3 linked regions of the Callithrix jacchus genome follow. Each later gene encodes a partner of the first gene's protein in a complex. Links are inferred from orthologs where the notes say so. Each region holds a gene or a part of one and is shown in the gene's direction. Other genes may lie near its edges.

Region 1 (3,600 bases):
GAGGATTCCTCTTGGTGCGTGGCCCAGTTTTCCTTAGGACGGGCTCCAACCCCTCCCTGACACCGCCCCCCTCGCCGCCACGCTCCGAGGCCTTCCCCGGGGAAGCCTCGCGTCCCTCCCCCGCGGCTCTGGGGGGCGCGCGCGCGATTCCTCGATTCCACAGGCGGTTAGCGCCGCGGGTGGGGGTAGGGCGCGCGGGGAGGGGGCCGCCATGGGAGGGGGGCCGGAGGGGGGCCGGCGTGGGGAGTTCCTCGCTCGCGGACCACACGCTCCGCGGGCCAATCCCGAGCCAGCCTCTAGCAGTGTCGCACGCGGGACACGTCCAAGCGTTTGTTGGCACGGTCGGTGAGGGGGAGGGGGCCGAGGGAGGGAGGGGAGTTGAGTGACAGTCTTTGCGGGGCAGGCTGGGAATTGTAGTTCCCAGCTTCCGTGGCCATAGCCATTTTGTAGTCGGGGGACTACAACTTCCAGAAGATCAAGGGGACCATTCTAAGGTGCCCCGGGAATAGGCGGCTCTCCCCGGGGCCGGGCGCCTTGGGGCACTCGTACCCAGCAGCCCGGCTGCAGGTAGACGCGAGGGCAGTGGCGAGTGCTGGCGTGGGGCGGCCGTGGGGTGAGCGGCAGGCAGGGGAAAGGGGGTGAGGTGGAGCGACGGAGCGTGCCATGCATTGAGCTAGGGAGCCTCTCTCAATTTCACGCCTGTGCTCGGCGTGGGAGCGACGCCCAGGGCTTGCCTGGGAGGGGTTCGTCGAGGCCGCTCGGGTGTCTGGTTGGCCAGGCTGCGGGGGTGCCCTGGCCTGGGCCAGGGGCGGTCGGCACCGGGCTAAGCGGGCGCCTGGCGGCCGAGCGGTGGGAGTTTTCGGCTGGCGCCCGGCGGGGAATTACCCGAGGAGCCCTAACTTGTATAAAAGCAGAGTCCATTTAAAGTTGGGCTGGATAGCCTCTCTCTCATTGGTTAGGGGGCTTGGAAAAAAGACTCGGCGAGCCCTCGCTGTGGTGCTGCCGCCGCCGCCGCCGCCGCCGCTGGAGTTGACTCTTCTGCTCGCACTGCTGCTGCAGCACAAACGTGACTTCCAACATTTTTTATTTATCTTTCCCTTTTCTTTTCCAAGATGTAACTACGGATCAGACACTAAGGACCTTCACGTTTCGCTGATGTAGTTTTTGGAGGAAAAAGGGGGGGGAGTGAAGGGCGTCGGTTTTTTTTTTGTGTGTGTGTGTATGTGTTTCGGGGGAAATTTTCCATTATGAGTGTTTTACTAAAGTGAATTTTTTTTTGTTTGCTTCGTTCGTCTTTGGCTCTTTTTTTTTTCCTTCCCAATTTCGGATTTATTTCAAGGCGAATCTGGCTTTGGGGGAAGAGGAAGAAAAGTCGGATTACAAGATCAACCACCACCAACAACAATAAAAACCACCAGGATATTTTTTTGCAAATTTCTGACGGCTTTAAATTCATGAAGCAATTGTCCCCTTTTGCAATCAGCATTTGGATCTCAGAATGAGCAAGGAAAGACCCAAGAGGAATATCATTCAGAAGAAATATGTAAGTGCTCCTAACAACACATCCTTTGACTTGCAGTTTTAAGCAATGGCTGTGAATGTCAAGTTTATAGATAATTCTGCAGCTGAAGGGTTTTAAACACAGCGTCCGATAAGGCTGTTTCTTTCTTTTCTGAAAGAGGGCTTTTCAAGCAAAGTGGTGTCTGCCTAGTTTGGCTGAAAAAACAGATTGGTGTAGAGATACCTCAAGTAAATAAATTGACCTCGAATGACACAACCATAATCTAGTTTTAGATGAAAGGCAAGGGATTTTGGTGGAGCTTGAGGTGGCGGGGGCTTCGGTAATGTAACTAAACTGCATTCTCCAGCGGATTTGGCCCCATATTGCACTTTGCATGCAAATGAGCCTGTGTTATTATTATTAATGTTATTTGGAAAAATCGTGTAACGCGTGTTTGTTGGAAGCCCTTTAAGTTGCAATCGAGGGTCCGATTATGGCGATCTTCTCTTTGCACTGGCACATTAAATTTAATGTCTGTGGTCATTTTGGCTTATCTGGTTTGCAACATAAACCAGTTGGGAATCATGTTACAGCGAAAGCATTTGTTGGGTTTGACTTTAATTTAATAATGAGGCTGGTTTTGTTTGAAAAATTCATGATTTCCAGTTCTAGGGGAAAAGGGCACACACTATGGCTAATGTTTTTAAGTGTGTATGAATGCATATGTAAGTAACTACAAGTCATTTTTTCTTAACTGGGCTTCTGAAATTCGGTGATTATTCAGAGATTTAAATGGTTTGGAATAGTTAAATTGTGCATAGTACAGCTACGTTTTGATTGGCATGAGGAGTGTTTTTGTTTTGTGTGTGGTGCCTTTTTTTTTTTTTTTTTTAAGTTTGAGGGGAGGGAGGAAAGAAGGGGACCAAGGGATTAACCAAATATGCACTCCAGTGATCTGTGATTAGCTGCGTGCTTTAAAGAACTCATTTTTTCAGAAAAGGCCAAATGAACATACCTTAGCGTAAGAGGAAAGTTTTATTTAAGTTGAGTAGACAGATTGGTGTTAATATTTTCCCTTTTTGATCATTGTGGTGTGTGTAATGAGAGATGACCTTCGGTGCACTGGTTTTGTAAAAAATTTAATGGAAAAGCTGAATGCTTCTTCAAGAGAGCTGATTCTTATCTAGACACGTCAACTTCAAGTGTGAAAGAAATTCAAGGTTAGATAATCAAGTCCAACTTAGAAAGCTGTTCATAAAGAATTTAAGAATTAAAATACATCCGCATTGCAGAGGGCTGGGTAGAATGCAAAGGACTAGTTTAAACTCCGGCTGTAGAAACTGCACGGAGGCAACCTTGCCTCGAGCTGGACGCCTTCCCTGGGCACGTCCGTTTCGGATGCAGCCACAAAGCAAATGGGGTAGAACTTGGACGAGAACCCCACCCCGCCTCCCATTCCGGACCTTCTTGAGGTGGAGAGCAGCGTTGGGTGGGTTTTTTTAATTGCGGGCGGTCCGCGGATCGTGTCGAGTCCGGGCGTCCGGCTGCAACACCGTGGCTGGCGGCAGCCGCGGGAGGCACGGCACGAGTTAATGCTCCGGGAACAGAGGTGTTAGCGACGTGCTCGAGCTGGCTGCGGAGGGGACGGCGCGCCGGGGTCGCGGCCGGCTGGGCCCGGGCTGGGCCGGCGGGCGCGCGCGCGGCCTGTAGGGGGCAGACTCCGGGTTCCAGGCTGGCGCGCGAGGCGGGCACCGGGCTACCCTACCCGGGCCGGCTCGCAGGCAGGCGGGCACCGGCCTACTCGGGCCGGCTAGTAGGCAGGCAGGCAGGCTGGTGGGTGGGGCGCGGGGGCGGTGCGGCCTGCGGGGCGCGGGGAGGGGAGAGCGCGCGGGGCGGGGGCGTGGGCGTGCCGGGGAGGGGGCGCGCGGCGCACAGCTGCAGCCGGCGCCCCCCACCGTGCGCACGGCCGAGCATGGCGGCGGCCCGGCCGGCTTCCCTCGGCCCTGCCTGCGGGCTCCGACGCAGTCTCAGGAGCAACAGGTTAAGCCGGCGAGACGTCAGCGCACCCCCTCCCCGCCCCCGGGTTCTTCCCCCGCCGC
Region 2 (11,249 bases), on another chromosome or scaffold:
AGAAGGTATCCTATTTTTAAGCAATTTGGTTTTTGTAGAATGAAGTATAAGACTGTTGGCTGCTGTCAAACTTCTCCCTTCTATTTCCATTAAAAAGAAAAAAAATGGAATTCTTGAGCACTGTTTTATGATATTCTTTACAAGGCAGAATTTTGTTTGGCTCATCTGAAATGTTTCTGTGGTCTCTATAAACCATGCTCTTACCATTGTTTTATACTTTGAGACTGGATTACTGTACTTCATAATGCCAAATGTAACCCTCACAGTCTTGTTTCTGAAGTTCCTTTTATGTCTTCCTGTGGCTCTGTATCCTTCACAGGAAAAAAAAAGGTTGGATGTTTTAATAGTAAGACAGGAAGTGATAAAGTCAAGCATGTTTGTGTTTTGTGTTCTTGTATACTTTAAATATTAATATGAAGATGTATGCAATATCTTAAACTCTACGTAGGTATTCTGACTCCGTGCACATTATATAGATGATTCTTCTGTAAAGATTCACTTTTACATAGACTGTATGTCCATAGAAATAATTAACTTTATTACATGAAGTGTATTTCATACTTTATCTTCTTATATTTTAACTTAATTATAGCCTGTTAATATATTTTACAAATTCACCATTTAAAACTATCTTGCCTGATTTTTGTACCATCCTAGGAATATATAGGACCCATGTTTCTCTTTCTGAAATTTTCAGACTATTTAAAAGCAGATCAAAAGTATATTAGACATGCAAATGATTATTTGTGATAAATGGATAATGTGATAAATTTTTTGACTAACTTTGCTTATACAGTATTTTTTTTTCTCTTCCATCAAAATCAGTTTTAGAACTTTGCCCTGATGTCGACATTTTTCATTTCGTAGGAGGGAGCAAAAGAGTTTGCTGCTGCTCTCACTGCTGAGCGGATAAAGACCCCACCAAAACGCCCAGGAGGCCGCAGAAGAGGACGGCTTCCCAATAACAGTAGCAGGCCCAGCACCCCCACCATTAATGTGCTGGAATCAAAGGATACGGACAGTGATAGGGAAGCAGGGACTGAAACAGGGGGTGAGAACAATGATAAAGAAGAAGAAGAGAAGAAAGATGAAACTTCGAGCTCCTCTGGTAAGACACGTCTAATAATTGGGTTTTACTGTTCTGTGAAGTCTCATAATGTGAGGATTAAGGATATATAATGCACTGAATAATTTTCTTAGTTTTCAGTATAATGAGAAATCTAAGACCAGTGCTATCTCAAGAATGTGTAGCTGCATTGCTTCTGTTTCCTGCCTCCATGTGGCCCTACCGTAGCTTGTGATGTTTGCCCTGCTTGGTTGTTGGAAAGTTGATGCAGTTTATTCTCATTCTTTGTGCCATTTTTCTTTTTCGATCTTTCTTAGATAGGGAATAATGGAATTTGGATCATTTGGTTTAATATTCTTGATGTTCTATCAGTAGTTTTGGTTAGAGAGAAAATGTGAACTACTGATAAGTTAGTATTTTATGGATTGGATTTTAGTTGTCCTTGTCTTGTTTTTTTCTTTAAGCACATCCTGAATTTTACATCTTAATATTATTTCATCATTTATTAACCAGTGCTTACATTTGGTTTTGTAGAAGCAAATTCTCGGTGTCAAACACCAATAAAGATGAAGCCAAATATTGAGCCTCCTGAGAATGTGGAGTGGAGTGGTGCTGAAGCCTCAATGTTTAGAGTCCTCATTGGCACTTACTATGACAATTTCTGTGCCATTGCTAGGTTAATTGGGACCAAAACATGTAGACAGGTAAGATATCCGATAAAAATGTTCTTAAAAGAGCCTCAAACATAGGGATAAAAATGTACTCATTGTCCAAACAAAGAAAATTCTTGGTTATTACTAAGTTCCTCTTCATCTCCTAAAAATTATTTTTTCTTCTCAAGAGGGAATTGAATGAAAATTATTCTTCATGTACGTTACAGAATTTTCCCACTGTAGACATTTAAGGTTAGATTTTAAAAGCTAATAAGAATTTAAATTTAGCATCACAGTTCTTGACCGGAATATAATTACAGCCACCCCCAATGTGAGGGTAGAGACAGTGATGTCTGTTATATCCTGAGCATCTAGCAGTGTCACAGAAGGGACAAAAACATTTATCTGGTATGCATGAGTATAAGAATGGTTTGCCTTAATAAGACTGTCCTCATGGCTCTGTAACTGTGCCTCTTGTCAGGTGTATGAGTTTAGAGTCAAAGAATCTAGCATCATAGCTCCAGCTCCCGCTGAGGATGTGGACACTCCTCCAAGGAAAAAGAAGAGGAAACACAGGTGAGTCTGCCAGGAACCTCTTAGAGAAGTCAACACAGATAGACACTGCCCGCGAGGCCCTTCCTAAGGGCTGCTGTTGGTTTCTACTTAGTCTGTTTTTAAAAACCTTAAACTGCCATCAAAAACAGAACTGTGGAATCTTATTTCCACTGGGAATTGCTAGTATTTTTCTATAAGAATACAGCAGCCTTCAGTATATTTTGCATGTTAAGAGTCCTTAAAATTATGGTTACCAGACTGCATTTGAGTTAAGAAAAACTTACTTAGTAGTTTTTGCTGTGAAGGCTACATAAATAATTATTTTAACAACATGAAATGTTCTGTCTTTCTGATGTGAGCTCTGGGCCAGTTTTTAGAAGTATCTTTTATTCTAGGAGCTTGAATTTCTACATTGTGTGGCACTGCATTCCGATACTCTCAATAAGGCCTGTGGGAATGTTTTCAGGCTGGTTTGATTTATATCTGCTCTAATCTCCCCATACCTCCACCTCACATTTTTAAAAACAAGAAACAATTGGGTAGGTAAGGGTGCAGTTAGATTATGCTTCACAAATTATGTACAGGCTCGTGTTACATTTTGTTACTTTAAAGAAAATGTAGGGTCAACCCAATTTAGAATTTTTAAAAATCAAATGTTTTTTCTCCCCCATAAGAATTTAGGCTTTAGGAGATGCTTCTGAATTTTTGGTTGAATTATTTCTGACCATGTAGTTTACTTGATTGGTTAATGATGCCTGAAATTAGAGAAAGTGATCAGTACCATCCACATCAGAATAAATCAACAGACAGACACACCTGCTGCTTTGTGCAGCATTGGGAGCTCAGAGGTCTTGACCAGGAGTCATGGATAAACACAAGAAATGACGTCTTGCCACACCTGGGGCAGCCTGAGCTATCAAGCTGTTTGAATTGCTCCAAACTGATGGCAAGAATTAGCTGGGGGAGGGCATGACTCTTGGCTTCAATGCACTATGTGTTCATGGCACAGAGAGATCCAGTCAGGCAGCTCTCTCTTGTATTTGTAGCTTCCCTGCAGAAGTTTATGTTTGATTTTGTTTGTGTTTTTGCAGGTTGTGGGCTGCACACTGCAGAAAAATACAGCTGAAAAAGGGTTAGCATCTTTCCATTCCCCTTGTCATCGGCTTAACAATGTCTGCTTTGTTCTCATTTGTTTTAGAATAGTAACTGGATTAGGGCTTGGGTTATTCTAATATAATTGACTTCTGTACATTAAATCAATTTGAATGGAGGATGTCTGTTGATGAATCCCCAGTCGGTTCTCTTCTGTGAAGTGGAGGCTGACTGGAAGGTGCGAGTCCTAGTCAGTTGAAGGAGAAGTGCTTTGGGATGGGACTGAGATGTAGCCCTGCTCTAGATGGAGCTCACAAGCACTTGGGGGTGGGAGAGTATTTTTTCCATCATTCTGTAAACAGGAATATGTATAACATTATGCATTCAGTAAAGGAAGGCCAGCTGCACTCCACAGGTAGTAGGGAAGAATGTACTCTTGTTAATTGTGTATGATCGTTTCCCATCTCCCTGGATTCATTGGCCTGCATGATGTTATCTTTATTCAGACGGCTCCTCTAACCATGTTTACAACTATCAACCCTGTGATCATCCACGGCAGCCTTGTGACAGTTCGTGCCCTTGTGTGATAGCACAAAATTTTTGTGAAAAGTTTTGTCAATGTAGTTCAGAGTGTAAGTATTTGTTGCTTTGATGCAATTGCATGAGAACTAAATAGGCCTTTGGTCAGCAATTTAAAAAATCAAAAAGTGAGAACACAGGAGCACTCCCTTGTTTACTTTAGGAAATTCATCGATTCTACAGGTATTGATTGAGCCCCATACCTGGCCCCTGCCAGTGACCAGTCAGTTGCCTGGGTGTTGTGTGTCTATGTGTGTGAGGCAGGCAAAGTTGTATTAAAGGAATCCGAATTTTATTTTTTTCTTCTTTGATCATTTAAATTAAGTCATATTAAAGTCGGCACAGATTGTAAGAGAAATCTAGAAGGAGCTACCCACATAATTTTTGGGCACCAGAAGTTGTCAGAGTTTAGGAAGGTTTTAGTCTTCAGAATAAAGGAATGTAGCACAAATGTAGGGGATTATAATAATTGTTTAATGAAACTGCACATTAAGCTTGAATACTAAGGGAGTGTTTAGAACCAGGAGCTATTAGAATGGTCAAGGACCATGGATATTGTTTCATCCAAACCCTTTATTCACACTTACTTTAAATATATACATTATTTAACAAATGAAAAATGGAAGAACAACTCAATGGTGGTCTTTTTCAGTACAAACAGCTTTAACTTCGCTGTTAATACTTCCATTTCCTTGTCTATACAGTAGAGTAATAAGGCGGTTGTGAGGGTTGAGTCAGTCAGATGCTCAGTACAGCCCTTGCCACATATCTTTCTGCAAGTTCTTGCATATGGTGATGATTGTGATAGTCATGGTGTTGATGATGAGTGAAGAACCTCCACACCTCTCTCTGAAGGTCAAAACCGCTTTCCGGGATGCCGCTGCAAAGCACAGTGCAACACCAAGCAGTGCCCATGCTATCTGGCTGTCCGAGAGTGCGACCCTGACCTCTGTCTTACTTGTGGAGCTGCTGACCATTGGGACAGTAAAAATGTGTCTTGTAAGAACTGCAGTATTCAGCGGGGCTCCAAAAAGGTGAGCAACAAGTTGCTTCTGGAAGGTTGTTTTTAGTGATGCTAATCTCAGGATTGTCTTAGATGATTTCACTGGGGCAAAAAGTAAAAGTGATCCTTGAAAGGTACAACTGATAAGAGAGAAAGCGTTGATAATTTTCTCTGGGTAATGCACTCTGGGGCAGTCTCTTCATTCTAGAGAACACCGTACTGTGTTGGTGGGAGAAACCAGCAAATTCTGAGAAGTAGCCATTCATGGTATCAGATTTGAAATAGGAGCTGTTTAATAGAGATTTGAATTTCTCTTTATCTAGTATCCTTAATGCAAATAAATGGTGATTTCTATCAAAACACAGAGTCATTCTCATCAGATAGTATTTATAGGTTCCTTACTATGTAGGGTAAAAGATGAAATTTCCCACGGCAGGTTTTTATTTACTTAGTTCCTGTTTAATAACCTTGGAAAAAACCCAGCCAGGAATTATATATTTGAATTCTGGGAATTGTATGTAGGTAATTTTAACTGTATCAGTCAGGAAGTAATTATTGAGCAAAAGAAACTGCAACAACATGTATTTGGGAAATTTGTCTTTTTTTTTTTTTTTTAGGGTAGATGATAGGTTTTTCTCTTCAGTCAGTTCTTCTTATAATAATAACTGACATTTATTAAGCATGTAAAAATAGCAGGCACTGTTCTAAGTGCTTTAGTGGATTTGTTCATTGATCTTGATAACTCTGTGAGTGAGGAATAAATGTTAACCCCATTTTACCGGTACAGCAAACCCAAAGTCACAAGATTTGTAAAGGAGCAGGAGATCAAATCCCCCAGGCACTCACTCCCATTAACCTGCTCTTATGCTGCGTGTGTGTGTGTGTGTGTGTGTGTGTGTGTGTGTGTGTGTTGGGGGGTGTGGAGTAGACATATCTTTGATTGTTGGACCATTTATTTATGATTGAGATCACACTTTTTACCAACAAGTCCCCTTCAACCAGCAGTTCTGCTCCAGGCAAAACACTGAACTTCTCTTTGTTTTGTTCCCTTGTGTCTTTAAACCAAAGTCTGTGTTTATGGCAGATAGCTGTACAGGGTGGCAGGTTTTTTGTTTTTGTTTTTAGCTGTGATTTTTTTCTCTTAGGCATTTAAATCATTTTACTCTAGGCAGTTATATATCCATTTAGGTCATTGGGTCATGGTGATGCTGGTTCAGTTTCTGATGGCAATACCCATTCAGACCTAAAAATCTCCATTTCTCCCCCAAACAACTTGCCATTGCACTGCTTCCTCAGTTTGTTCAGAAAGAGGGTAATACTATTGATACTGACATGTCCTCTTTGTAAGACATTTTTTAGCTCTTAAAAATGTTAAACTATGTAGATACTTTTTTACCAATTAGGTTTCATTTGCATAGCAATATTTAGCTATAATTTAGTTTCTGCACAGAAGAGTATTTGGGAAGTTCACCTCACAGGTGAGTGGTAGGATGTTCCAGAATAGGAATAGATTGGAAGCTTGAGTGATCAGGAAGCCTTTGTAAAGGTCATAAGAAAATTTTGAATGAAAGCATAATAATGAGCCATGTTGAAAAATTGGCATGTGTTTGGGAACACATCCCTAACTCTATAATTTACTGCAGTGATCATCTTGGCCTTTCTGCTGAAAATAGACTACTGGACTGACAAGATCATGATGCCACCTCTTGGTAGATTTTCCTGAGGAAGTAGGGTGGAAGAACAAATTTAAAAGAAAGCTGCTGTGGGCTTCAGAGGGAACAAATGCCAGTGAAGAATCGGGGTGTCCTTGGGGGCATCTAGAACTGGTAATAGATGTCACTTGACGGAAGTAGAGGGAAAGTTATGAAGAGGAAGGTGATTTGGAGGTGCCCTTATATTAAATTCAGGATGAAAGTAAATTACTTAAGAAAATCAAGGGCTGAGGAGACCAGGCAGCCAAAGTGCAGCAGTAATGCAAACAACCAACAGCACCAAAAGTTTTTTCTGTAAGACAGTGATACTTCTCTGCTCTGTAAGAAAAACATAATTTTCATACTTAGCCAGCCATTCTCAGCAGCTTTCACACTGACTGAAGGTATGTGTCCATTACTGCCTTAGAACAGGTCTGAAGATTGACAGCAATAGCCTTGTTTTTATTCTGTAGTCTAATTTGTCCCTAGTCCATCTTTACCCTCTTCTTTGATTATATGATTGTGTTTTCTTCTCTAGCATTTATTGCTTGCACCATCTGATGTGGCAGGCTGGGGAATTTTTATCAAAGATCCTGTGCAGAAAAATGAATTCATCTCAGAATACTGTGGAGAGGTAAGCACTGATCACCTATATTCAGGTGGCATTGTATATAACAACTTTTCTTTATTTTAGATTGATTTCATTTGGTAGGTCTGTGGGTTTGATTGGAAATGAATTGCCATAAACTGCCTTTTCAGCCTGGACTTCTGCAGGTTGTGGATTTGCATGCTTAGTAACAACTGGATGGTGCTGGGTGCGGTGGCTCACTCCTTCAATCCTAGAACTTTGGGAGGTTGAGGCAGGTGGATTGCTTGAGCTCAGGAGTTGGAGACCAGCATGGGCAACATGGTGAGACCCCATTGCTACAAAAAAATGCAAAAATTAGCTGGGTAGGGTGGTGCATACCTGTAGTCTCAGCCACTTGGAAGCTGAGGCAGGAGGATCACTTGAGCCTGGGAGGTTGAGGCTGCAGTGAGCCATATTTGTGTCATTGCATTCCATCCTGGGTGACAAAGTAAGACCCTGTCTCAAAGGGAAAAAAAATAACTGGATTGCTTTGATTCTAGCCAAATACAGCTTTTCTCATTGAGGGACAACAGGGAGAACAAGAGCTTTATCATAGTGTCCTGCTTAATCCACAACCTAGTTGATAAGGACCTAGAAACAACAGTGTCATTAGTTACTCACCTTTTAAATTGTTGCGTTAAAGAAAAATCATAGGGCTAGCTTCAGTTTGGAACCAACTCACCCAATTTTTGTGTTTCACCCCCTGGCCTTTGTTTTTGAGGTGAAGCTCTTACTGCCCAGGCTAGAGTGCAGTGGCATGATCTCTTCTCACTGCAACCTCTGCCTCCATCTCCACGGTTCAAGCGATTCTGCCTCAGTTTCCCCAAGTAGCTGAGATTATAGGCATGCACACCACATGGCTAATTTCATATTTTTAGTAGAGATGGGGTTTCTCCATGTTGGACAGGCTGGTCTTGAACTCCCGACCTCAAGTGATCCACTTGCCTCTGCCTCCCAAAGTGCTGGAATTACACGCATGAGCCAAACTCTGTGTGTGTGTGTGTGTGTGTGTGTGTGTGTGTGTGTGTGTGTGTGTAACTCAGCAAAAAGACTTTTGTTTCTTACTTTCTCCAAGGATAATTACTTTGGGATGTGGAAATATTTCTGAGTTGAGGGTCCAGTGTGCAGACTGAATGGGAAAGAGAACTTGGCAGTAGTGACCCTTTTTGTTGAATATTCTCCAGAAGGTCCAGTATTCACTCTGTGAACTTTTGTGTGTTCTGTCAGGCTTGATCACCTTTATCCAAAAGAATTTTCTCCTGTGTCTTTCTCTTTAGATTATTTCTCAAGATGAAGCTGACAGAAGAGGGAAAGTGTATGATAAATACATGTGCAGCTTTCTGTTCAACTTGAACAATGGTATGTTTTTGAGCTGGGAGGCAGTGAGTTCCTCTGAATTGCATGTGGCAGCCTTTTGCTGCATGCAATTTCTGCTTCAGAAATGAAGGTAGAGGTCAGTGAGGTGACCGGAAGGAAGATCTCCACAAAGGCATTGGGGCTGCTTGCTGGAAAGGAACTGGAGCAAGGAATTCCTCAGGTAGCAAATACTAGGAAACCGCCTCTAGAGTCCCAGCCATCTGTGGATGGGGCTGCACCAGTCTCTGGCTGTGAAGGGGACATTGTGCTCTGTTGCTGCTCACCTCTTGTGTTCCAGAAGCTCAGCACACCTCCTCCAGTCAGTGCTTCTGACCAGGAGGGAGCACTGCATTTGAAAGCATCTTCCAGACTTCCCTGGATATTCTCAAAGGACTGAGAGGAAAGGCAGCTTCTTGCATAGCTGATATATGTTCTAGGGTAGAATGTAAGGCTATAGGGAGTGTTTTGGTGGGATTATATGAAAATGGAGGTAGGCTTAACATGTAAGATACTCAGAGAAACTGTTAGTTGGAAGTAGTAGGTTTTTTTCTAAGAATGCTTCATAGACATTAAAATTAATTTTAAATGTGAAAATGCCTATTCTTGAAATTTGGAAGAATTTAGATTCTGGTTTTTTGGCCATGTTTTGCTCAGTCAGATATGTTTATAGTTGATAAGTAATAGCTTTTGAATCAGATAACCATCTTGAATTACAGGTGATTAAATTTAACCTGGAACAATAAATAGTATGTTCTTCCAAATGTCATTTCTTACATAATGAAGTTGGTTGAATGGTTTATTTGTTTTTTGCAGGCAAACCCTAAAGAACTATAACCAGTTGCATTTACAGAATCATAATAACTTGATTGACTTAAAACTGAAATTCACTGGGTTGTGCATATTTTTTTTTTTTTTTAGATTTTGTGGTGGATGCAACCCGCAAGGGTAACAAAATTCGTTTTGCAAATCATTCGGTAAATCCAAACTGCTATGCAAAAGGTAGGTACCTTTGAAGTCAGAATTGGAGCTCCCTTTTCCATCCTGTGATGATGGACTTGAGTACTTCCGGGATACTTTGTTATGTGAACAAGTCGGTAACCACTCGTTGCTCTTCATGCTCACTAACACCGGTGTCTCTCTTTCCAGTTATGATGGTTAACGGCGATCACAGGATAGGTATTTTTGCCAAGAGAGCCATCCAGACTGGTGAAGAGCTGTTTTTTGATTACAGGTTGGTAAAGTAAATTTCTAGCATGATCTCTAAGGGCTTTTTCTACTGGATTTTGAACTCTGGACAAAGAATATTTTTTAGATGTGCTGTCTCTGAGGTGTGGGGTGAATTCTTTGACAGGTCAGTATTTGCCATGGCCATTAGTAGGGAATTAGGTTACACTTTCCTCTTAAGTATTCATTATCCATTTATTTGTTATACAAGTCATGCTTATTTTAAAAACAGAATAAAATCCATGCAGAAAGCCCCATTTCTCACCCTGCTATTGACAGGTGGGTGAGTCGTAGACCTTTTCATATCATGCTGCATGCTTGCTTGTGGAACATTTTCCAGAGTAAATGTGATCACACTGTCCTGTAGATTTTTCTGCAACATGGTTTTACTTGACAGTATACTATGTATATCTTTACTGATTAGATCTACTTACTTTATTGCTTGCTACGATACTTACTACACAGGTTATTATTTTAAAAGGTGCTGGTGGCAAACTGCTGCTTGGTCACCGTGGGTTGTTTCTGGGGGGGAGGTGCTGGCACTTGTGAGCCACCGATGGTTTCTAACTGTATGGTTAGGCATTAGGTTGCCAGTTGATGCTGTCAAGCTCTGTGGGATAAACTTAATACAGATTTAAGTGCAATCAGGTGACTGTCTAGTTCATGAACTCCTTTGGCCCCGTATACATCCCATCCAGAAGCTCTTTGTCAGTACTGAGTTCTTGCGTATTCGGATTGGCGTTTAATGTCTGCTGCACGGCCGAGAGCTCTCAGTGAGGCAGATGAGGTCTGAGTGAAAGGCCCCCTTTACCAAAAGGCCACTTCATTCCAGGCCTGCTGTGAATGAAGAGTGGGGGGTGGAGCTGGGGTTGGAGGTAAAGCTATCCAGCTTCCTTGGGTTGGCCCGGTGGTCCCACCCCGCAGATGGGCTTCTTGTGCTTCTTCCTGGGTGTCTGCTGCACTCTAGTTCTTTTTTCACTGGGGGAGTGACTGACAGCTGTTCTTGGGCCCTCTTTGCTGTGGTCATCGTGCTTTCCAGACCATGGTTCTGTTTTGCCGTTCAGCGTCAGGCCCATCATTGCGTGCACCCGCTTTCCTGGGGCCACTTGCTTCAGAGGCTTAGGGGAAGGCTGGGCAGAGCTCTGGCCAGGTTTGTTCACTTCGGAACTTGGCGGAGTCTCAAGTAGATGGCCAGCAACATAGACCAATGCATTGCTTCTATGAATGCCCTTATGCAGGCAGCCATGTAATTGTTGGATGTATGTGTATATGTTTTTTTTTTAAAGACATTTGAATGCACTCACTGTATTGAGCAGGCTTTGTTAAGTCTCAGCACATGTTGGATGGGGGTCATCCACCAGACGTGCTTTTTCCTGTTGTTTCAGATACAGTCAGGCTGATG
Region 3 (11,249 bases), on another chromosome or scaffold:
TCTAGCTACTCAGGAGGCCGAGGCGGGAAGAACACTTGAGCCTAGGAGGCAGAGGTTGCAGTGAGCCGAGATGATGTCACTGCACTCCCTGGGTGACAGAGTGACACCTTGGCTTGAAGAAACAAATGAAGTTGAGAAAAGTTTGTTGAAAAATTGAGGTGATTAAAGACTAAAAGAATAAAGAAAAGTAGAAGAAGTTGTGTGCCACGATCTCAGTGCCAAAGCAAACCTGGTTTTTGTTTTTCCTTTTATTGTTTTGAGGTTTGCTTAGAGTAGTACATATTTTAATTGTTTAGATTAGTGGATGTTTTACTTAAACGTATACATTTTTCTTTTGTTTTGGACAGTCACAGTCATGTGGTGTGACTTTGTGCCTTTTACTTTGATATTAGTACCATTGCTCCTTGTTTTGTTTTGTGTGTGTTTTTTTTTTTTGATGCATAGTCTCATGTAGTCTCACTCACTTTGTTGCCCGGGCTTGAATGCAGTGTCAAGATCGTGGCTTGTTGGGACCTCCGCCTCCCAGGTTCAAGCAATTCTCCTGTCTCATCCTCCCGAGTAGCTGGGATTACTGGCATGCGCCAACCACGCCCGGCTAATTTTTGTATTTTTAGTAGAAATGAGGTTTCCCTATGTTGGCCAGGCTGGTCACAAACTTCTGACCTCAGGCGTTCTACTCACCTCAGCCTCCCAAAGTCCAAGCGTGAGCCACCATGCCAGGCCTGTTACTTGTTTTTTTAGTGTTTGTGTGAACCCAGTTTGAAATGACTGCATAGTATTCCATTATAATCATCTGCTTGCATTCTGCATTTATTAGAAATACCTGGGGTAGAGACTGAATTGTCTACCACACTCTGTGAGAGCAGGTAGGCACACAAAGGATTGGCAATAATGGTGTACTATGCTAATGCAGAGTAAGCACTTAGCATTCTGGAGGCATAGAGTAAGAGACCCTTCACTCATTATTAGAGCTGTGGGGGAGGATCCGTGCGGAAAAGGTGATAATGCACGTGTCCTAAAAAGGAGATGTATCGTTGTGTGTGCGCATGGCAGACACTGCATATGCCAGGCAGGAAAGTGCTGAGGTGGTGGGAGTACAAATTTGATGTGAATTTTATTTGACTTAACTGAGACCTGTAGTTGCTTAGGTTAATTGCCTGAGTTAAAATGAGTAATCAAAAAATGGGAGTGTATGTAACTTAAACATTTATTCTGAATATGTAAAAGAATGTTCAGTAATTTGTTATAGAGAGCCAAAGTCACACTTTGGAGTATAGATAAATTAACTGGGGTTTCTAGTCACAATTCTTGAATAAACCAAACTTAAATGTAGATATAATCTAATGATTTGCAGTAGTTATTTATTTATTTATTTATTTATTTTTTTGAGATGGAGTTTCGCTCTTGTTACCCAGGCTGGAGTGCAATGGCGCGATCTCGGCTCACCGCAACCTCCGCCTCCTGGGTTCAAGCAATTCTCCTGCCTCAGCCTCCTGAGTAGCTGGGATTACAGGCACGCGCCACCATGCCCAGCTAATTTTTTGTATTTTTAGTAGAGATGGGGTTTCACCATGTTGACCAGGATGGTCTCGATCTCTTGACCTCGTGATCCACCTCCTCAGCCTCCCAAAGTGCTGGGATTACAGGCTTGAGCCACCGCGCCCGGCCCTGCAGTCGTTATTTATTTAAAGCGGAGCCAGAACTTGTAGACAATTGAAAAGCTATTAGAGATACCCTAATGAGACTTGTTACAGTTTTTGTTCTTGATTTTTACTGTAATTCTGCAGTATATCGCTTTTTAAATAAGTGACCTTTTTCATTTCCTTTCTTTCTCTCTCTCTCTTTTTTTTTTTTTTTGATGGTGTGGGGCCTCACCTTCTCCCAGCCTGGAGTGCAGTGACACTGTCTCAGCTCCTGGGCGCGGGTAATCCTGTCAACCTCAGCCTCCCAAGTAGCTGGTGTTAACAGGCACACACTACCACAGCTGGCTAATGTTTTGTATTGGAACAGGGTTTCCTATGTTGCCCAGGCTGGTGTAGAACCCCTGCACTTACACGATCCTCCCACCTTGGCCTCCCATGCTTTGAGATTGCAGGCGTGAGCCACAGAGGACGTGGACCTTCAGGAAGCCTTCCAAAAGCTGTGAACAAGAGTTTTCATACAAATAAGTCTTTAGTTTTAGTAGAGTGGGATTTGTTTTATTTTACTTTTGTGTGCACAGTACTCTAATAGTATCTGAATATGATAATTGTTCTTCTGTAAAATATTGATGCTGCTGGTGCGCAGAAAGCCTGGAGAGTTATGTTCCGTTCAGTTACAGATCAGTCCAATACTTCTTTTATATGTTCCACATAGTTTGGGAAACTGTTCTCAATATGAGGCTAAGGGAGTTCAAGGCAGAAAAGCCCGAACAGCGGAGGCCTAGAGAGGCCAGATCCTGAAGAGTGTTCTGTACCACACTTAGAGTGACCCTTTCAGAAGTCCTCAGGGGAACTGTTGAAGAGTTTATCAGGAAAGTGATACTACGGAATTTGTACTTTGGGAAAAGCCTTCTGGGTATTGAAAATAGCTTTGATGACTTGAGGAGGTCCAGAAGAAAGGAGACCTGAACTCGGATAAGTTACGGCAGTGGCTGGAGATAATAGGTATTAACAAGTACAGTTCTTAGATCTCAGTGTTGGGATATTTGCTCTCCCCTTTTTAGGCCTGAAGTGATAACGGTGTTCCCTGTAATACAAACATCCTTGAGCACAGAGCTTTTACTGAATCTAGGTTTATTTTTTTAGAATGGAGTTCCAAACGGTTAATTAATTGATTTTATACTAAACACTGCTATAGGTGGTATGACCCAAAGGGTTCATAGAGTAAGAAAAGACCTATGTCATGGGCTTTTCAGCCTTGTGGGAAAGACAGAGAGGTTTGAGTGCTACAAAGCAGGGAAGAACTACAAAGCACGATGTAGTGGCGGTACTATCTTTTCCAGGGTATGAACACTTAAGTTCTTGATTACAAGTGTTTTTTTTATTTTATAATTTTTTTTTTTTTTTAAACATAAGAGATGGGTTTTCACCATGTTGGCCAGGCTGGTGACCTCAGGTGATCCGCCTGCCTCAGCCTCCCAGAGTGCTGCTGGGATTACAGGCATGAGCCACTGTGCCTGGCCCCCCTTTATTTATTTATTTACGTTTATATCTATCTATTTATTTATTTATTTTTGAGATGGAGTCTTACTCTGTCGCCAGGCTGGAGTGCAGTGGCACAATCTCGGCTTACTGCAACCCCTGCCTGGGTTCAAGCGATTCTTCTGCCTCAGCCTCCCGAGTAGCTGGGACCACAGGCGCGTGCCACCATGCCCGGCTAATTTTTGTATTTTTAGTAGAGACGGGGTTTCACCATGGCCAGAATGGTTTCAATCTCTTGACCTCGTGATCTGCCCGCCTCGGCCTCCTAAAGTGCTGGGATTACAGGTGTGAGCCACTTTTTTATTTTTTAATAAGATGAAGTCTTACCCTGTCTCCCAGACTGGAGTGCAGTGGCTCTGTCTCGGCTCACTGCAACCTCCATCTTCTGAGTTCAAGTGATTCTCCTGCCTCAGTCTTCAGAGTAGCTGGGATTACACGAGCCTGCAACTATGCCTGGCTAATTTTTGTATTTTTAGTAGAGATGGGGTTTTACCACATTGGCCAGGCTGGTCTCGAGCTCCTGACCTTGTGATTCACTCACCTTGGCCTCCCAAAGTGTGGGGATTACAGGCGTGAGCCACTGTGCCCAGCCCCAAAAGTGTTTTTTTAACAATGCATGAAAATGATGTTTTGCAAATTGTTTTATGATTTTTTTTTTCATTTCATTATTAGGTAATAGCTAAGAGAAAAGAAGATTCTGGGAAGATAAAACTTTTGCTTCATTGGATGCCTGAAGATATGTAAGTATTTGAAATACCCTGTGTAACATTTAATAAGTTTATGTTTTATTTTTTTAAAATCCTAAGCACAAAAATTATTTGTTATTAAATTCAAACAAAAATTACATTGTAAAACATTTTGAGGTTGTCAGGATTAAAGAGATAATCTGAAAAGTCTTAGACTATCTGGTTTACCTTACAGGCTTTGAAACTTAAGGTTTTTTTGTTTAAGCTGGGAGCTGTGGCTGCCACCTGTAATCCCAGCACTTTGGGAGGCCAAGGCGGGTGGATCACTGAGGTCAGCAGTTTGAGACCAGCCTGGCCAACATGGTGTAACCCCATCTCTACTAAAAATGCAAAAATTAGCTGGGTGTGGTGGCATGCACCTGTAATCCCAGCTACTCGGGAGACTGAGGCACAGGAAGAAGTAGTCGTAGAAATTTTTAATCATTTTTAGGATTTTTAGGGACCTCCAAGCAGTATACAAGCAGCCATAACTGTGCCTTTGTTTGAATCATTTATTTTAAAAATTTGTAAATGTTCTCTAGCATACAATGAATGATATTTTATAGAAAAAGCAGTTGACCAAAAGAAAAAAAATTCTTCTGATTGTGGTTTTGCTGTACATCAAAAAAAAAAAAGGCAATTGACTAGTTTTCTAGCAGTGATTACATTTTTTTGAGTTTTAGTGCCTATTCATAGCACTTTTGACCTAGATGTTTCTCAGTTCAGATATTTCATGTTTAATTTTCTTTTTATCTTTTTAATTAAAATTTTCATTTTATAAAAAGGAAATCAGGGTATCTTACAGAAATTTTGGACAAAATTTTTAAGTATCAAGAATTGAATAAATGTAATTGAAAGAGATTTTATTATGCATACCAAATTCACATATGCGGCCAATAGCTGGGCACAGTGGTTTATGCTGGCAATCCCAGTGCTTTGTGTGGCTGAGGCAGGAGGATCGCTTTTAGGCCAGGAGTTTGAGATCAGCCTGGGCAACATAGTGAGACCTCGTCTCTACAGGAAAAAAAACAAAAAACAAAAAAATTAGCTGGTTGTGATGTTGTCGCCTGTAGTCCCAGATACTCAGGTGGCTGAGGTGGGAAGATGGATTGAGCCCAGGAGGTTGAAGCTGCATTGAGTTGTGATTGAATCGCTGCCCTCAAGACTGGGTGACGGGGCGAGACCCTGTTCCAAAAAAATCAAATTTAGATGTGTGTATTCTAATGTTTTGAAAGTTGATTAATCCAAATATCAAAATACATTTATTTTAATTTTCTTACAGAGTTGAATTTTTTTGAATTTAGTATTGTAGCCACATGCTTTTTTTTTTTTAAATGGAGTTTAATCTTCCAGGGTTTTTATCTATTTATTTATTTATTTTTGAGACAGTCTTGCTCTGCCGCCCATGTTGGAGTGCAGTGGTGCACTCTTGGCTCACTGTAACCTCTGCCTCCTGGGTTCAAGTGATGCCTTGGCCTCGGGGGTAGCTGGGATTACAGCTGTGTGCCACCATGCCCAGCTAATTTTTGTATTTTTAGTAGAGATGGGTTTTTACCATGTTGGCCATTCTAGGCTTGAATTCTTGGGCTCAAGTGATCTTTCCCACCTTGGCCTCCCAAAGTGCTGGAATTATAGGCATGAGCCAACATGCCAGACCCTTTTATTTCTCTCTCAGTAAAGAAATTTGCTAGCTTCCGGGAAACTTGGCTTCCGGGAAACTTGTTCACTTAATATGGACAGAAAATGCCAGAATGTGCAGGCACAGGAAGTGTCAATCTAAAATGAATGTTATCTTACCGTTGACTTGTTTTTTAATTCATAGTCTGCCTGATGTGTGGGTGAATGAAAGTGAACGACATCAGTTAAAAACTAAAGTAGTTCATTTATCAAAGCTACCCAAAGATACTGCCTTGCTTTTGGACCCAAACATATACAGGTAATTTAATTCTTGCCTTTATGTTTTACTTTTTGAATTGTAATTTTCTCTCCCCCAAATTTGGATAAATTAGGACTTAGTTTTCAGAACCGAATTTTAATATCAAGCATATCTTACTACTTCCTGGCATTTTTTTCCTTTGGTGTGTGGACTCACAAAAAGTTTAAAAATTGTACAATCCAGGAAAATAGTATTTTGCTAAAGTTTATATGCTTGTTTAATCCCAGATTTATCTTAAGTAGTAATTTGAAGATAAATGCCCTTTTAACAAGGTAATTTCTTACATAGTAACAGACTTTTGTGGACCTAATACGTTGCATGAGTCTGAAATACCAAAACTGTTTTGATTTTTTTTTTGAACTTACACTTTCTCCAAACTTTCTGAAAGAGCAATTCAAATATTATTTGTTTGTTTTTTTATATGTAGCTTAGAGTGTTCACATTTCTAGTACTTTTATGATTTGAGTTTTTTTAGTGTACTATGCTTATAAAGGTATGGGGGGAAGGAGAAGAGACCAGAATTTCTGTCTGTGTGCTAAGTCACTTTGCTAGGTGCTTTGTATACTTTATCCTCACGGCTGCTCTGTGAGGTAGGTTTTACTGTCTCTGCTTTACAGATTGGAAAACTGAGGCAAGAGGTTAAATAGTCTACCTAAGGTCTACAGAATGTGATTGAACTCCATGGTGCCTCTATCCAAATGAGGTACATTAGAGTGATTTAAAAAGTGGTGGCAATGCTTAAAACCAGCTTTTAAAAGGCAGTCTTACCGAAAGGGCTTTATGTCTTTTTGAATGAAACTTTGTGTATTTTAGCTGTTGTAAAGATAGCTAATTTTATAGTGACACTTTGGAGGACGTATTCATTCCATGATGTACTTTCTGAGTGTTACTCACATAGACTCCTGTAATTTGAGACATTATTCTATGAGTGAAAGTCTAACTATAGACATTTCCATGTGGAAACAGTTTTCCCTACCACAAAAAAGGTGTTTTTGGGTGGGCCCAGTGGCTCATGCCTGTAATCACAGCATTTGGGACGCTGAGGCAGGCAGATTGCTGAAGTCTAAGAGTTCAAGACCAGCCTGGGCAACATAGCAAGACCCTATCTTTACAAAAAAATACAAAAATTAGCCAGGCATCGTGGCACATGGCTGTGGTCCCAGCTACTCAGGAGGCTGAGGTGGGAGGATTGCTTGAGCCTGGGAGTTCGAGGTTGCAGTGAGGCAAAGATCGTGCCACTGCACTCCAGCCTGGCTGATAGAGTGAGACCCTGTCTGAAAAAAAGAAGTTTCTTCTCGAACTTCTTTTGATGAAAGTGCTAATTAATACAGTAAAACTTCTTCTTTGTGGAATGAACTAGATCATCAAGGAGAAGAAGATTGAGAGTAGTCTACTACTAAAAATTTGGGAAGGTTACAAGTTACCACTCAGAGAGTTGTCGAAGGAGCATGGATCTTAAAGTAAGATTAGTCTGTGTTTCTGCCCGGCATCCTACTTCCTTCTTTCAAAGAGTCTTGCCTTCTCACCAAACCAGCTTATTTTTTTCTGCTCTTGTGCTATGTAGGAAGCAATTGAGATATTTTAGTGAAAGTGACTTGAAAAAAATTAAGCTTAGAACAGATATTCTGAAGTTCATAGGAACAGGGTTGCATATTCTCAAATATGTGTGTGATTCCACAATTCTTACCGATTTTATTGTTGGAAATGAGAATGTTATTAGGATATATTAGGTGCTTCTGTGGATTTAATTTTCCTTACCCGTATCCAAAAAACCATCTTGGCTAGGCGAGGTGGCTCACGGCTGTAATTTCAGCACTTTTGGAGGCCGAGATGGATGGATCACTTTTGGCTGGGAGTTCGAGACCAGCCTAGCCAACATAATGAAATCCTGTTTCTATTAAAAATGCAAAAATCAGTCGAATATAGTGGTGCACGCCTGTAATCTCAGCTACTTGGGTGGCCGAGGCATGAGAATCACTTGAACCCAGGAGGCGGAGATTGCGGGGAGCCAAGAACGCATCCTGCATTCCAACTGGGGCTACAGAGCGAGACTGTGTCCAAAAAAAAAGCCACCATAAAACTTACCTTTGACTCTTCATGCTTTCACTGTTCTGAAAATCAGAATTGAGTGTGCTGTAAAGTGGTACAGATTTGCCCTGGTGTAGCAGTCTTTTCTTAAATTTCTGGATTTTGATTTGGAAAACTTGTGAAATTAATTAAAATAAGAAAATTATTCTTTCTTGTTTTTAGGAGAAATAATTTCCTTCTTGTGCACATATCAAAATGAAAGCATGGCAAACCTTCTGAAAAATATATTTCTTCAAAATGAGACAAAATACACAGTTGGCCCTCTGTATCCACAGCTTCCACATCCATGGATTCAACCAACTGTGTATGAAAGCTATTTGGGGGTAAAAGATAACAATACAACAACAAAAAAAATACAAATAAAAGACCAGTGTAGGATAACGCTGGTTTACATAGCATTTATATTATGTTAAGTATTATAAGTATGCAGAAGGATGGATGCAGGTTATTTGGAAATCCTGCTATTTCCTTGGATTTTGGAATCTGCAGGAAATTCTGTTCTGGGGACCCCCACACTCCCACTGTGCATGCCGAGGGACAACTGAATTTATTTGGGATTTAAGCTTCAGGGTTAGTTGTTTCTGAGACCACATCTGTCTGTCTTCCCAGGCTTATCTTGAACTCCTGGGCTCAAGCAGTCTTTCTGCTTTCGCTTCCCAAACTGTTGGGAGGATTACAGGCATGAGCCACTCAGACCCAGCCAAGCGTCGGTTTTAAAGTACTAGTTGCCTAAAATGTATGTGTTACACATGGAATTCTATCTTAGAAACGCACAAGCAGGCGAAATTTAAAACTTCTATTAAGCAACGATTATTATGTAACTAAGTATGGATCCATATGTATAAATGTTTTGGAAATAAATTTTCATTATACTCTATGATCGTCACATTGCCTGTATCTTAGAAATATTTTTAATGTCTCTTGAAGCAGTGTGTTTGATTTAGTTGAATAAAAGAATTTCTTTTTCTCTTTTTCTAGAACAATGCCGCAGAAGAGGTTGAAGAGGTAAAAAATAAATAAATACATAAAAAGCAAACAAGCGGGGACACCTGCAGTCTTAGTCACTGACAATGGGTTTAGGAAAAGTTGCACATTAGAGTCAACCCCTTCCTTTTTTTTTTTTTTTTTTTTTTAAAAAAAAAAAATCCAGTATTTAGGATAATATTTATGCTTAGTGTAAACATTCTGTGAATGAAGTAGACTCTTCAGTGGAATATATTAATATATTACTGTATATCCACATTTTCATGGAATGGTACTGTGGGAGACTGAGCAAACACTCTTTTGGCAACTTAGTAGAACAGCTTCTTAAAGGCTTTGCATGCTTGCTGCTTTAAGCTGCTTTTCTTTTTTTCCCCCCCCTTTAGTGATTTCAGTAGTTTATATTGGAAAGAAAAACAATTACAACATGTGCCCTTACAAACACCAAAAGCACTGTAACGATATTTGTCTTGACAGTGTTTATTGATTTGAAGTCATATTAGGAAGTATTTAGACAATGAAAATTATCAAGAGATAATTTACTTTTCAATTATGATAAATAGATGTGATTGGTTGCCATTTGTGTTCTTTTGCAGAACTCTGATAAGAAAAGTGTTCAATTTGTATTTAAGCAAACAGTGAACGACGTTTGCAATCAACTAAAAATTCGTCTATCGAATTAGGGCTGAGAATTACTGTTAAAGAGTGTTGCAGTATGTCTGGTGGCTCCCTTTGCAGGACTAGGGCTTCCTCATGGGGTACAGTACCTTCATATTTACCTATATAACTAATCTGTTAACGGTTTTTGAAAAACCTTTCAAATTATTTGAACAATCTTCATATTTTCATTTAACCTATATGACTCTAATTTTTTTCTGAGGAAATCATTTGGTTTTTGAGTTGTTTTTTCTTAATGTAAGAAAAATTGTATTTTTTTTACAAGTATCTTCAAACTGAATCTTTTATGCACCAAAGTTGGTTTTGAAAAGGAAAATAAAATCACTTTCTTGCTTGGTAAGCAAGAAGCCATATCGATTTTTTTTAACTTACAGAAATGGAAATATGTGTAACTTGTTAGTATTGTATTAAACAAATGTTGCATAGAGATAATAGAACATTGCTTGTAAATAATTCAGCAGATTTGTAATATATTTTTATATTTTGAAATGTACTGTAGATGTTTTTCTAGAGGCATGGAAGTTAAATGTATATATTATGGTAGAAATAATATTGAAGGCTATGGTAATTCACTAGTGCTGCCAGAGGAATTGTTAATAAAAGCACCTTCTTTAACAATAAATGTCTTTCGCAGACTTAAGGGACTCTGTACTACTGTTAATATCTATCAGAACAAAACAAATTGAACATCCTTCCAGAAAGTCTTTGAGGGAGGACCTATGCCCATAATAGAATTATGGCACTCATTTCCGACAGTGATCATGAAATCAGTTATTTCCTTACTGTTGGAAGGACACGTTGGGAAGTGTGTGGTTATTTGCAGTGAAACTGCAGAAAATACTCCTGATTGAGGAGTTCTCACTTAATACAGTAATATAAAAACCAGCAGTTTTTACACTAAATTTTTTAAAGAAATAATAGACAAAAATATTGAATTAAACCTTTGGTTCCAAAATGGGAAAGGTTCCATGATACATAAATCATTTCTCATTTGCTTTACAAAATTAAAAAATGTAAAAATGATGAGAGACTTTATTCGTGAACAATGGGGTAAAGAGCTATTTACATGAAATGAGTCTTATAAACTTAAATGACGTGCGAAGGAAGGCACCGCCACTGGAAGGCATTCTGGAACGGTTGTTGGTAGGGTATTGTCCGTTTGGTCTATAGCAATGTGATTCTATTTTTGAAAAGCAAAGTGTTTCCTTTGTTTGTTTTCTTTTGCGTAAGCACTTCATCCATTGCTTTATTCTGTATCTGCGAAGTAACCTGCAATCTTTTTTGTTCTTTTTAAAATTTGATTTGTTATGAAATTGCCAAATAGAAGTGTTTCAGATACATAGTTTGTACCTGTATTTTTATTTTATTGCCTTATGTTCTTGTAAGTCATTCTTAATTGACCAATGATTGTAGACCTTGCTTGAGTATTTTTTCTAATAAAACAAAGCAAATCACATATAGCTTCAAATTGTAACAGTTTAATTCAATTTTAAAATGACACCTGAAAAGATACATCTGATATTTTCTAAAGAGCACAGTAAATAAGTTTTTTCATTGTGTAGAAATACTTGGATGTCAAAACCAGATTTCCTGATTCTTGATTAACTACTGAGTATTCAATCACTCATAATTCTTTTGCTGCTTATCTGATGTTGGTTT

Evidence for each region.
Region 2: the proteins of JARID2 (region 1) and EZH2 are in contact, whole or in part, in a cryo-EM structure (PDB 8VNZ), measured with the Homo sapiens proteins. The link is inferred for Callithrix jacchus from reciprocal best matches to the Homo sapiens genes JARID2 and EZH2. Residues at the interface, in NP_004964.2 of Homo sapiens: Arg108, Pro109, Arg110, Leu111, Ala113, Gln114, Arg115, Lys116, Thr154; in NP_001190176.1 of Homo sapiens: Arg78, Ile131, Pro132, Tyr133, Asp136, Ile146, Lys156, Val157, Asp160, Arg161.
Region 3: the proteins of JARID2 (region 1) and AEBP2 are in contact, whole or in part, in a cryo-EM structure (PDB 8VNZ), measured with the Homo sapiens proteins. The link is inferred for Callithrix jacchus from reciprocal best matches to the Homo sapiens genes JARID2 and AEBP2. Residues at the interface, in NP_004964.2 of Homo sapiens: Ser148, Lys151, Pro152, Lys153, Thr154, Glu155, Asp156, Leu158, Thr159; in NP_001107648.1 of Homo sapiens: Arg407, Ala410, Ile411, Asn414, Leu415, Glu420, Ser421.

The regions. Positions count from the first base shown.
Region 1 is NC_133505.1:15,485,862-15,489,461, reverse strand, and holds the start of JARID2 (protein Jumonji), read left to right. Parts: upstream 1-995; 5' UTR 996-1,498; coding exon of another isoform or gene 1,499-1,543; intron 1,544-3,216; exon of another isoform or gene 3,217-3,334; intron 3,335-3,600.
Region 2 is NC_133512.1:98,902,220-98,913,468, forward strand, and holds part of EZH2 (histone-lysine N-methyltransferase EZH2), read left to right. Parts: intron 1-867; coding exon 868-1,108; intron 1,109-1,600; coding exon 1,601-1,770; intron 1,771-2,200; coding exon 2,201-2,295; intron 2,296-3,365; coding exon 3,366-3,406; intron 3,407-3,872; coding exon 3,873-3,998; intron 3,999-4,800; coding exon 4,801-4,979; intron 4,980-7,177; coding exon 7,178-7,273; intron 7,274-8,544; coding exon 8,545-8,626; intron 8,627-9,541; coding exon 9,542-9,622; intron 9,623-9,769; coding exon 9,770-9,854; intron 9,855-11,232; coding exon 11,233-11,249. UniProt on the Homo sapiens protein: Polycomb group (PcG) protein. Catalytic subunit of the PRC2/EED-EZH2 complex, which methylates 'Lys-9' (H3K9me) and 'Lys-27' (H3K27me) of histone H3, leading to transcriptional repression of the affected target gene.
Region 3 is NC_133510.1:3,954,330-3,965,578, reverse strand, and holds part of AEBP2 (zinc finger protein AEBP2), read left to right. Parts: intron 1-3,854; coding exon 3,855-3,922; intron 3,923-5,729; coding exon 5,730-5,843; intron 5,844-8,909; coding exon 8,910-8,936; intron 8,937-9,508; coding exon of another isoform or gene 9,509-9,554; exon of another isoform or gene 9,555-11,249. UniProt on the Homo sapiens protein: Acts as an accessory subunit for the core Polycomb repressive complex 2 (PRC2), which mediates histone H3K27 (H3K27me3) trimethylation on chromatin leading to transcriptional repression of the affected target gene.